Linked DNA regions of Callithrix jacchus. The protein of the gene in region 1 interacts with the protein of each later gene in a biochemical or structural test. Links are inferred from orthologs where the notes say so. Each region holds a gene or a part of one and is shown in the gene's direction. Other genes may lie near its edges. The genes, in order: SHC1, PTPN12 and CSF3R.

Evidence for each region.
Region 2: the proteins of SHC1 (region 1) and PTPN12 form a complex in vitro, tested with the Homo sapiens proteins (2 studies listed by BioGRID). The link is inferred for Callithrix jacchus from reciprocal best matches to the Homo sapiens genes SHC1 and PTPN12.
Region 3: the proteins of SHC1 (region 1) and CSF3R form a complex in vitro, tested with the Homo sapiens proteins (2 studies listed by BioGRID, with this or other methods). The link is inferred for Callithrix jacchus from reciprocal best matches to the Homo sapiens genes SHC1 and CSF3R.

What each region holds. Positions count from the first base shown.
Region 1 is NC_133519.1:15,383,505-15,387,250, reverse strand, and holds the start of SHC1 (SHC-transforming protein 1), read left to right. Parts: upstream 1-1,442; 5' UTR 1,443-1,663; coding exon 1,664-2,158; intron 2,159-2,756; coding exon 2,757-2,827; intron 2,828-3,363; coding exon 3,364-3,427; intron 3,428-3,581; coding exon 3,582-3,701; intron 3,702-3,746. UniProt on the Homo sapiens protein: Signaling adapter that couples activated growth factor receptors to signaling pathways. Participates in a signaling cascade initiated by activated KIT and KITLG/SCF.
Region 2 is NC_133512.1:72,500,690-72,504,335, reverse strand, and holds part of PTPN12 (tyrosine-protein phosphatase non-receptor type 12), read left to right. Parts: intron 1-2,772; coding exon 2,773-3,646. UniProt on the Homo sapiens protein: Dephosphorylates a range of proteins, and thereby regulates cellular signaling cascades. Dephosphorylates cellular tyrosine kinases, such as ERBB2 and PTK2B/PYK2, and thereby regulates signaling via ERBB2 and PTK2B/PYK2.
Region 3 is NC_133508.1:73,047,182-73,050,927, reverse strand, and holds the start of CSF3R (granulocyte colony-stimulating factor receptor), read left to right. Parts: upstream 1-1,144; 5' UTR 1,145-1,397; intron 1,398-2,905; 5' UTR 2,906-2,960; intron 2,961-3,746. UniProt on the Homo sapiens protein: Receptor for granulocyte colony-stimulating factor (CSF3), essential for granulocytic maturation. Plays a crucial role in the proliferation, differentiation and survival of cells along the neutrophilic lineage.

The sequences.
Region 1 (3,746 bases):
GTTTTGGAGGTGGAGTTTCACTCTTGTCACCCAGGCTGGAGTGCAGTGGCTTGATCTCGGCTCACTGCAACTTCCACCTCCTGGGTTCAAGCAATTCTCCTGCCTCAGCCTCCAGAGCTGGGATTACAGGTACCTGCCACCATTTCCAGGTAATTTTTTGTATTTTTAGTAGAGACAGGGTTTCACCATGTTAACCAGGCTGGTCTCGAACTCCTGACTTCAGGTGATCCACCTGCCTCAGCCTCCCAAAGTGCTGGGATTACAGGCGTGAGCCACTGCACCTGGTGGGAATATGTATCTTTAACTTGTTTTTTTGGTCACTTTCCAGCTTTCCTATGGCATTCTCCAGAAGAGCAGTGGCAGGAAGCCGTGGGTGGCGGGAATGGGATTGGGACTGTTCCCTGTGCCAGCTTCAGCCCGTCTTCTCCTGACATCCCTTTGTCCTGTACTTATTTTTTCTCCTGTCCTTATTGACATGGATGCGTCTTCTGATCTCTCTGTCCTTTCCTGGCGTGTAGCTTCTATGTCTCTTGGAGAACTGTTTCTTCTTTCAGCCAGGCTCCTTCCCAGGTGTGAGGGACACTGTACTCTTTGGTGGGGCTTAGGGCCCTGTAAGAGCAGGGATATGAAGTGGGGTGGTTTGGAGTGGGTGTGGGGACCTGAGGCCTCATTCTCACCCTTGACAATGTACTGTGTTAAGCCTGTGGAAAGGGGAGACTGGATAGTGCTTGGCTGTGAGCCATAGCTCTTTGGTGTGGTAGATGCCGCGCATAGAGAACAAGCTGTGACCAGCATGTCCTCTTGTTCACTTCTTGCCTGGTAGCTTCCTGATGTACCATCCAGGTTGGACTTTATTCCCTGATTTTCACCAGCTTTGCTCTTCCTCTTGACCCTGCTCTGCATCCATTGGGACCACTTCCTTCCCATCCCCACTTCGCTAGCTCCAGTCCACAGCTGTTGTAGCAGAGGATGCTAATGGCCCAGGCTCACTGTATGTGGTAGTGGTGCGGGGTGGCCTGGGCTCGAGAATGGGGGAATTCTAGTGTTCAACCAGGACAGGAAGGGAAATGCTGAGCTCTGAGATCTCCTCCCTTTTCCACCCCCAGTTGCCTCCGTTTCCTCCCTCATTCCTCTCTACTCTCGCCTGGCTTCCTGGCCCCTTTGGTCTGCCTGTGTCCGGTTTCCAGTGACCCGCACCTCCTCTTATCTCCCTCCTTTCCGTCTTATTTCTCCATCCTCTCCTCCCACCCCCCACTTTACTCCTCCCCAGATTACTAGTTGTTTGTATAGGGCTGGGGAGAGTTCGAGGTTGGGGCAGGGTGGGGCTCAGCCCCTCTGAGCCTGTGAGTCAGCACTGTCCTCCGGATTGGTCTCTCTCCTTAGCTCCCCGCCCCCAGGGAGGAGCCAGGCAGCTCTGGGTCCAGCCTGTTCTCTTCTCAGCCAGAGAAGAGGCTCCACGTTGGGCGGGGATGGGGCCTGAAACTGTCTGGGTCTGAGCTGGGGAGCGGAACCCACTTGTCCCTCTCCCTCCCCAGGACTTCTGTGACTCCTGGGCCACAGAGGTCCGACCAGGCTAAGGGCCTGGGGATACCCTCTGCCTGGCCCCCTTGCCCAAACTGGCAGGGGGGCCAGGCCGGGCAGCAGCCCCTTTCTCACCTCAGCTATGGATCTCCTGCCCCCTAAGCCCAAGTACAATCCACTCCGGAATGAGTCTCTGTCATCGCTGGAGGAGGGGGCTTCAGGGTCCACCCCCCCGGAGGAGCTGCCTTCCCCATCAGCCTCATCCCTGGGACCCATCCTGCCTCCTCTGCCTGGGGACGATAGTCCCACTACCCTGTGCTCCTTCTTCCCGCGGATGAGCAACCTGAGGCTCGCCAATCCGGCTGGGGGGCGCCCCGGGCCTAAGGGGGAGCCAGGAAGGGCAGCCGATGATGGGGAGGGGATCGTAGGGGCAGCCATGCCAGACTCAGGCCCCCTACCCCTCCTCCAGGACATGAACAAGCTGAGTGGAGGCGGCGGGCGCAGGACTCGGGTGGAAGGGGGCCAGCTGGGGGGCGAGGAGTGGACCCGCCACGGGAGCTTTGTCAATAAGCCCACACGGGGCTGGCTGCATCCCAACGACAAAGTCATGGGACCCGGGGTTTGCTACTTGGTTCGGGTGAGTGAACATTCTCTCTTCCACTCCCTCCCAGCCCCCGCCCCCCCCCCCCCCCCAGTTCTGCTCACTCCAGCTTGGCTGGAATCTCTTTTCTCCTGCTGTTCTACAACCCCGTTTCAGTGTCCTATTTCCTAAACCTTTCCCATCCCTTCCCTGATTCTGTAGTCCCTTCCCTTCCAGCTCTGCCTGAGCCCCCTTCCTTCTTTTGACTCCCCCACCCCCACCTCTACCCTGCCATGCTTAGCACAATGCCCAGCATGGCAGAAGCTCTTAGTAAGTGTTGGAATGAGTGACTTATTGATCCTCCCCTCCATTCTCCTCCTGCTTTCTGGAGTTGTCACTCCATCCCAGCCAATGCCTGTCGGTCCCCTCCAAACTCTCTCCCCAGTGCGAGGTCCTTCTTTCTAGCCTGCCTTTCTTTCTCTCCTCATTCCCTGTTGTCTTTCACCTTGATTGTGGGATGTAGCCACGGGAAGTGGGCAGAACCTCTCCATCTCTACTTCCCTTAAGGACCATGTGGGCAAAGTCCTAGGGCCCTTTGTGAAGGGGCTGGGGTGGGGGAGCTGCTGACCTGCTGTCCTCCCCTCCTTCCGCTTAGTACATGGGCTGTGTGGAGGTCCTGCAGTCAATGCGTGCCCTGGACTTCAACACCCGGACTCAGGTCACCAGGTTAGTGGGGAGGGAGTGGATTGGGGGAGTCCCGGGGTTAGTGAGGCCACAGGAAAGGGAGGAGGGGAGTGGTCACTTGAGTGCTGCTGGTGGGGGCTGATCTTTGGGTAGTGGAGGGGATTGAGAGAAAGCTGGTGGTAATTCTGTATCTTACTGAAAGGAGGCCCCTCTGGCCTGGATCCTCCTTACCTATCCATCCTTGGGAGTTGTGGGGAAGGTGGCAGAAGCAGCTGGCAGGTAGAGCTGGAGTAGAAAATGGGGGTAGATGGAAGGTTGCTGCTGCCTTTGGGAAGGGAATGGGACATTTGGTAGCTGGAAGTGGGTGGGTCTGTACCCATTGAGGCCCTAACCCAATCAGCCAGGAAGCGGCCTCTCAGTGTCATCAAATATTAAAGGCCCTTAATTCAATCCACCACGACAAAGAGCCTGGAGTGCCCTGGGAGTCTGGCCTGGCTTTCCCCTCCCCCAGCCCTGTGGCAGCCCCAGCTGAGTGGGAAGCAGGCAGGCACTGGGTCTGAGTACCCCTCTTTCCCCAGGGAGGCCATCAGTCTGGTGTGTGAGGCTGTGCCGGGTGCTAAGGGGGCGACAAGGAGGAGAAAGGTATCTGGGGTCCTTGGGGATAGGGATGCAGCTGGGAGATGTGAGGGGCAGGGGGAAGGCAAGTGTGGGGCATGTGGGGGAAGGCCAGAAGGCAAGAGTGTGGTTTGCCGGAGCTGGGAACCCTCACCTTCTGAGACCCTGGGCCCTACCTTAGCCCTGTAGCCGCCCGCTCAGCTCTATCCTGGGAAGGAGTAACCTGAAATTTGCTGGGATGCCAATCACTCTCACCATCTCCACCAGCAGCCTCAACCTCATGGCCGCAGACTGCAAGCAGGTTGGTGGAGTTGGGCAGGGGGACTAGAAACACTGGTGGGGGTGC
Region 2 (3,646 bases), on another chromosome or scaffold:
GGAAAACCCCATCTCTACCAAAAATACAAAAATCAGTCAGTTTCATGGCACATGCCTGTAATCCCAGCTACTTGTGAGACCGAGACAGGAGAATCACTTGAACCTGGGAGGTAGAGGTTGCAGTGACCCAAGATCACACCACTGCACTGCAGCCTGAGTGACAGAGTAAGACTCTGAATCAATAAAAATAATAAAATACTGATTGTTGACAAGTGGTCTCATGTACATGTAGGAGAAATAATAAACCTCAATTTATATCAAAATTTTATTTTGTCCTTTTAAAACTCATATTTCCTATTTGTATTATGTGTTCTTAGGATAACCTATTGATCTTTGTGTATGCTTTGTAAACTGTAGGAGGTGTCTGCAATTATTTTTTGTTTTAGATCACAAAAACTCGATGGCTACTCTTTTAAGATTCAGAACCTGCTTTTATAGGCCAGGTACAGTGGCTTATACCTGCAGTCTCAGCTCTTTGGAAGGATATGGCAGGTGGATTGCTTGAGTTTAAGAGTTTGAGACCAGCCTGGTCAACATGAACATGGCGAAAACACATGTCTACAAAAAATACAAAACTTAGCCAGGTGTGGTGGTGCACACCTGTAGTCCCAAGCTACTTAGGAGGCTAAACTGGGAGGATGGCTTGAGCCCTGGAGGCAGAGGTTGCAGTGAGCCAAGATTGTTGCTACTGTATTTTAGCCCGGATAGCAGAGCCAGGACCCTGTCTCAAAAAAAAAAAAGAATCTGCTTGTAAAACTTAAACAGATATAGGAACATTTTATGGGAGTATTGCTGTTGTTTTAATATGACCAGTATTCTGGAGATACTCATTTAACTTCCCATGTCCTATTCTAGGAGTGTGTCTAGAGAATCTGAACTTCAGAGTCTCTTTTAAGGGGAAACCTGGTGTACCATGTGATTACTACCAATTCTGTTTGGATAATAAAAAGGTTGATCACCTTGAAGAAAAAAAAGCAAAAACTCTGATGTGGGGCCCAGTGACTCACTCCTGTAATCCCAGCACTTTGGGAGGGGAAGGCAGGAAGACCACTTGAGGCCAGGAGTTCAAGACCAGCCTGTCCAACATTGCAAAACCCTGTCTCTACTAAAAATACAAAAATTAGCCAGGCATGGTGGCATGTGCCTGTAGTCCCAGTTACTCAGGAGGCTCAGTCATGAGAATTGCTTGAACCCAGGAGGTGGAGGTTGCAATGAGCTGAGATGGTGCCACTGCACTCCAGCCTGGGCACCAGAACGAGACTGTATCTAAAAAAGAAAAAGAAAATCAAAATAACTCAGATATACAAGCCCTTAAGAAGTTTGCTTCATATAAAGTTCTTAAAAAGCCGCAAAGCCTGGGCAACATAGTAAACCCTATCTTTCTTTTTCTTTTAGACAGGATCTCATTCTGTCACCCAGGCTGGAGTACAGTTGTATGATCACAGCTCACTGCAGCCTCGACCCCCCTGCCCCCAGGCTCAGGTGATCCTCCCACTTCCACATGCACTGCCACACCCGGCTAATTTTTTTGTATTTGTTGAAGGCACAAGGTTTTGCTATATTGCCCAGGCTGGTCTTGAACCCCCAGGCTCAAGCAATCCACCTGCCTTGGCCTCCCAAAGTGGTAGGATTTATAGACGTAAGCCACTGTGCCCAGCCCCCATCTTTTTTTTTTTTTTTTTTTTTTTGAGACAGTGTCTCTTTGTTGCCCAGGCTGGAATGCAGTGGTGCCATCTCAGCTCATTGCCATTTCCACCTCCCAGGCTCAAGTAGTTCTCCTGCCTCAGCCTCCTGAGTAACTGGGACTACAGGCATGCTCCACCTCACCTGGCTAATTTTTGTATTATTAGTAGAGATGGGGTTTTACCATCTCTACTAATGGTAAGTTCAAGACTGGTCTTGAACTCCTGAGCGAAAGCAATCTGCCCACCTTGGCCTCCCAAAGTGCTGGGACTACAGGCGTGAGCCATGACACCTGGCCCTATCTCTTTAAGGAAAAAAATAAAGGCAACCAGAGGATATAACCCACCCAAACAAAGGAATATACCCAGAAAGAGGAAGATGTGACCTGGGGAAACAGGAGAATCTGAAACCAGGGAGAACATTAGCACTATGGTGGACTAGGGAACCAGTGGTTCACACTGGAGCAGGAGGCCAAAGGTTACTAAGAGGGATGTCTGTGGTATTGTTAGTTACCAGGTGTGCTTGTTACTATTGAGAAGAGGTATACCAGTCTGCAGGAAAGTTACAAGAAAAGCCGAGTAACTGAAGGTGGATAGAGAGCTACGCCATCAGAAACCCAAGGCAGTCATTAGGGGAAAACAAGACATGATAGAAGAAAAGACATAAAATCATGGCAACAAAAAATTACATTATGACAGTATTAGAAAGATGGAAAAGAAGGACGTTTCACAGTAGCAAGTCAATAGAAAATGTGTGAAATAAAGATTAAGAAATAACTTTTGAAATAGTCTGAAATACAGAGGTAAATTTTAGAAGCAACTGTAAAAAGTTGAAAGTGGATGTCTCTGGCTAACTGGGGGGCTTTGGGGTGTGGAGGGAATATGATTTTTATTAAAAGTCTTATATTTGACTTTTTATATGGTATATGTGTGTTACCTTGTTGAACATTAAATTTTCTTAGTCTGAAAAATGACAATTTATATTAATAACCAGATTCTAATAGCTCTTAATATACTAGTCTTAGCTACATAATTCTCATGTATCAACGTGTTTAACAGTCTTAAAATGCTCTTTTTAAATGTTTTTCAGTTGCCTTGTTGAAGGGGATGCTAAAGAAGAAATATTGCAGCCACCAGAACCTCATCCGGTGCCACCCATCTTGACACCTTCTCCCCCTTCAGCTTTCCCAACAGTCACTACTGTGTGGCAGGATAATGATAGATACCATCCAAAGCCAGTGTTGCATATGGTTTCATCAGAACAACATTCAGCAGACCTCAACAGGAACTATAATAAATCAACAGACCTTCCAGGGAAAAATGAATCAACAATCGAACAAATAGATAAAAAATTGGAACGAAATTTAAGTTTTGAGATTAAGAAGGTCCCTCTCCAAGAGGGACCAAAAAGTTTTGATGGGAACACTCTTTTGAATAGGGGGCATGCAATTAAAATTAAATCTGCTTCACCTTGTATAACTGATAAAATCTCTAAACAACAGGAATTAAGTTCAGATCTAAATGTCGATGATATTTCTCAGAATTCTTGTATGGACTGCAGTGCAACACAATCAAACAAAGTTCCAGTTACTCCACCAGAAGAATCACAGAATTCAGACACACCTCCAAGGCCAGATTGCTTGCCTCTTGATGAAAAAGGACATGCAACGTGGTCATTTCATGGACCTAAAAATGCCATACCCATACCTGATTTATCTGAAGGCAATTCCTCAGATATCTGCTATCAAACTATGAAAACTGTGAGTTTAACACCAAGTCCTACAACACGAGTTGAAACCCATGATCTTGTGGATCATAACACTTCACCTCTCTTCAGAACACCCCTCAGTTTTACTAATCCACTTCACTCTGATGACTCAGACTCAGATGAAAGAAACTCTGATGGTGCTGTGACCCAGAATAAAACTAATATTTCAACAGCAAGTGCCACAGTTTCTGCTGCC
Region 3 (3,746 bases), on another chromosome or scaffold:
GGTACCAGGTTGCGCAGGGCTTTGTAGATCATTGAAAGGGCTTCTGTCCAGACACAGGAGCCACTGGAAAGTTTGGCACAAGGATGACCTGATCAGACTTCTGTTTAACTGATAACGCACTGGCTGTTGAAGGAGCCAGGTGGGAGAACAAGGATGAAAGAAGCAGGAGAGCAGGGAGGGGGCTATTTAGACGGCCTAGGCAAGAGATGAGGGTAGCTTGGGGCTGGCTGGCATTGGTTTAAGTGATATTTATATTTTCCAATATATTATCATAAAATTAATCGCACGTACAGCCAAGTCGAACTTTACAGTGAATACCCAGGATTCTGGTTATATTTTGAAAGAGGAGAGTCCCCGGGATTCACTGAGTGAGTGGAGCCTGTGGGATTTCTTGGGAGGCTACAGTGGGCAGTCGGGTCATTTGACCTGGAAATAGAAATGCAGCCCTGGTCTGCAGCATCACACCACACCCAGATGCTTGAAAAGGATTCTATGTTAAGGACAGCCTGCTGGCCTGTTGGTACCTCACCTTGATTGTGTTATGAGTCCAATAAACTATGGGCAGTTTGAACATCTCTCAGAAAATGCAAAGAAAATTATTTGTAGTTGCTGAGGCATCATAAATACAGACAATAAAAGACATAAAATGTAGTCTATTTCACCCAATTACAAAATATTCAGTGTTGCAGAACCATTGTGGGTAAACATTAGTAATTTTTAGTGAACATAGGAAGACCCCATGCCCCCCCCAAGACATCCTCCTGTCTTGCCTCTAGAACGCCTGTTTCTCCCTCCACCTGGTCTATGGGCAATGCAGAGAATACGTAAGGAAGATGGGAGCAGTAAGTTTTGGGTTATAAAATTCCCTGGAACCTGGAAGACACCCTTCTGCGTACTGTGAAGACCTGGGCCCCAAGGCTAGAGCTGAGAAGAGGCTTGGGGCTGGGTGAGCCTTCCAGCCAAGCTCTGCCTCCAAGTGATGCTCCCCCAGGGCTGGGGGCATGGGGATGGCATCCAGCCAGGTGGGAGCCTGGGCCCTCCCCAGCCTCAAAGCTTTGAGCTCAGGAAATCCGGAGGCAGGGGAGGGGGACATTGTTGCCACATTCCCCAGCCCTTTAAGACCCCCAAGGCAGGAAGGCTGCCCGGGCCTCACCAGCTTCCCTCGCAGGCTCCTTCCTGGGAGGAAGGGGCTGCCTGTGCCCTCGAAGGCACAAGGGAGGGTAGGAGAGAGGCTCGGAAGGTGTTGCAATCCCCAGCCCCCGGGCCTGTCAGAGGCCGAGCCATTAACGACAGAGCTTGGGGAGAGAAGCTGGACTGCAGCTGGTTTCAGGAACTTCTCTTGACGAGGTGAAGAGAGACCAGGGAGGCCAAGCAGATGCTGGACCAGAGGCTCCAATGTGAGTAGGGGATCTCTGGAGAGGGGCTGAGCCTTGGGCTTGACGGAGAGCTGGAATCCTGGGGCCATTCTCCGCAGCTCCGCCAAGTATTCATGTCCGGGGTCCTAGGTCTGGGGCCAGGGATTCATCCTTTGGAATATGCAGCCTGGTCACTGACTCTCTTTTCACAGGGTGCCCCTACTTTTTGGGGTATTGCACCAGGGAAGTCACTCACAGCCAAGTTTCTCCCTGGGGGCACTGAGCTAGGCTGGGGGCAGACAAAATCGTTCTCCCATGCCTCTGTCTCTCAGAACGTGTGTGTCTGTGAGTTCCAGCTCCATCTGGGCCTCTGTCTATTTCACTCTCTGTTTCCATATTTCCTCCTGAAACTTCTCTCTGGCTTGCTGTCTCTCTGAGTTTGTCTCACATATTTCCTGCTATCCCTTGAATCTTAAACTCTTGGTAACAGACTGCTTCCCGGGCTCCAGGCCACTGAGTGCCTCTGGCTCTCTGGGTCGGCGGACTTGTCTCTTGGGCCCTTTTTCTCTGTCTCTCGACATCTCCGGCCTCAATCTTCCTCTCGGTGGGTCTCTGTCATTTCAGTCTGTGTGGATTTCAGTCACCGCCTTGCTCTGTTATTCTTTGTGGCGTTCTCTTCTTTATCTGCAGCACACTGGAAAGCCCTCTCCCTCTGTTTATTCCCAGCCCCCTCTTCCCTCCCCACCCTTCACACAGAAAGAATCTCGAGGTAAGAGTAAAAACAGCAAGGGAGCAAGGGGTGTGAACTGGGGAAAAGAGTGTGAGGGGAGAAAGTTGAGGGTGATGGAGGGAGAAACAGCAAGAGGGGGCTCAACGGCAGCTAGCACTGGAGGCACAGAGGTGTGCTAGGCAGCCAGCCCAGGAGGCACAGAGGTGTGCTAGGCAGCCAGCCCAGGAGGCACGGTGGTGTGCTGGGCGGCCAGCCCAGGAGGCACGGAGGTGTGCTGGGCGGCCAGCCCAGGAGGCACGGTGGTGTGCTGGGCGGCCAGCCCAGGAGGCACGGAACTGTGCTGGGCGGCCAGCCCAGGAGGCACGGTGGTGTGCTGGGCGGCCAGCCCAGGAGGCACGGTGGTGTGCTGGGCAGCCAGCCCAGGAGATGGTGTGCTGGGCAGCAGCCTCGGAACGAGCTCCTGCAGAGCCCGGTGGCAGAGAAGGCCACAGTGACAGGAGGGCCAGGGGCCAGGGAGCTAGGAGGAGAGGATCCAGAAAGGGGGTTTGGGAACTGTGCAGTGTGGCACAGATAAAAGCAAGGTGGCAGTCCTGGGAGGTGTGGCCATGCAGGCTGTGAGGGAGGCAGGGGTGAAGGGAGAACTGAACGGTGCTGGATTCTGTGAGCTGATGACCCACTTTATGGCTCATGAAAATAACCTACAGTTGCTGAGTGCCGATTCCATGCCAGGCACAGTGCTAAGTGCCTTTACCATAATCATCTCATTTCATCCTCACAACAACCCTGAGGCATGAGTGCTAATGTTATTTATTTTCCACAGATGGGGAAACTGAGGCTCGGCTCAGAAAGGTGAAGTAACTTGTCCAAGGTCACAAGTAAGTGGTGGAGCCAGAGATCAAGTCAGGTGACCTGAATCTGAGCTGGGCTCCAAACCTCTCTGCATATCAGCCCCCCAGAGAGTGAGATGATGCTCCAACAGGCCCTAGGCCCTCTCAACCTGGGTGGGGGGTGCCCAGGGCTGCAGTGAGGGACCAGGGACTGAGGCCAAGCAGGCCAACACCCAGCATCCAGCGGGAGGAGGCCAGGGCCTCTCGGGGCTAGATTGTCTGCTCTGGACAGGAGCCAATGGAGGCAGATAAGGTGGTACTGCACGGGGCATAGGCTGGGCCTGAAGCTGACCCTGGCTAGGGCAACAGAGCTGGGATATGATCAAAAGCACATGGAGATGAAAACCAGTGTCCCAAAGTCTTGGGCTTGGAGGCTAAATCTTCCCCAACCACTGTTAAGGGGGATAATCAAACTGGTGTGCTGTAGTAAGAAGGTGACTAACCACCGATGTGTAGACAGATGCTTGGGATAGTTGTGCAGGTTTCTCACTGCACAAAACTGAGTAGTAACTGGAGATGAAATCCAGGCTGTGCCCTAGTTGTCAGGTCCTAGTGTGGTGCTGCATCCATCCTGAAGAAGGGGTGCTTTCTTTCTGATCTGCACAAAGGAGACTTACAGGCTAGAGTCCCTGGGTATTCTGATACTGCAATATATATGGATAGACTGGGGTCTGGGTAAGGCCCCTGTGAGCAGGAATAGCCTTGGGTATCTGGGCAATTCTTATCCACACCTCTGTCTGTGAGGGATAGGAAAAGATTCTCCTACCTTTCTCC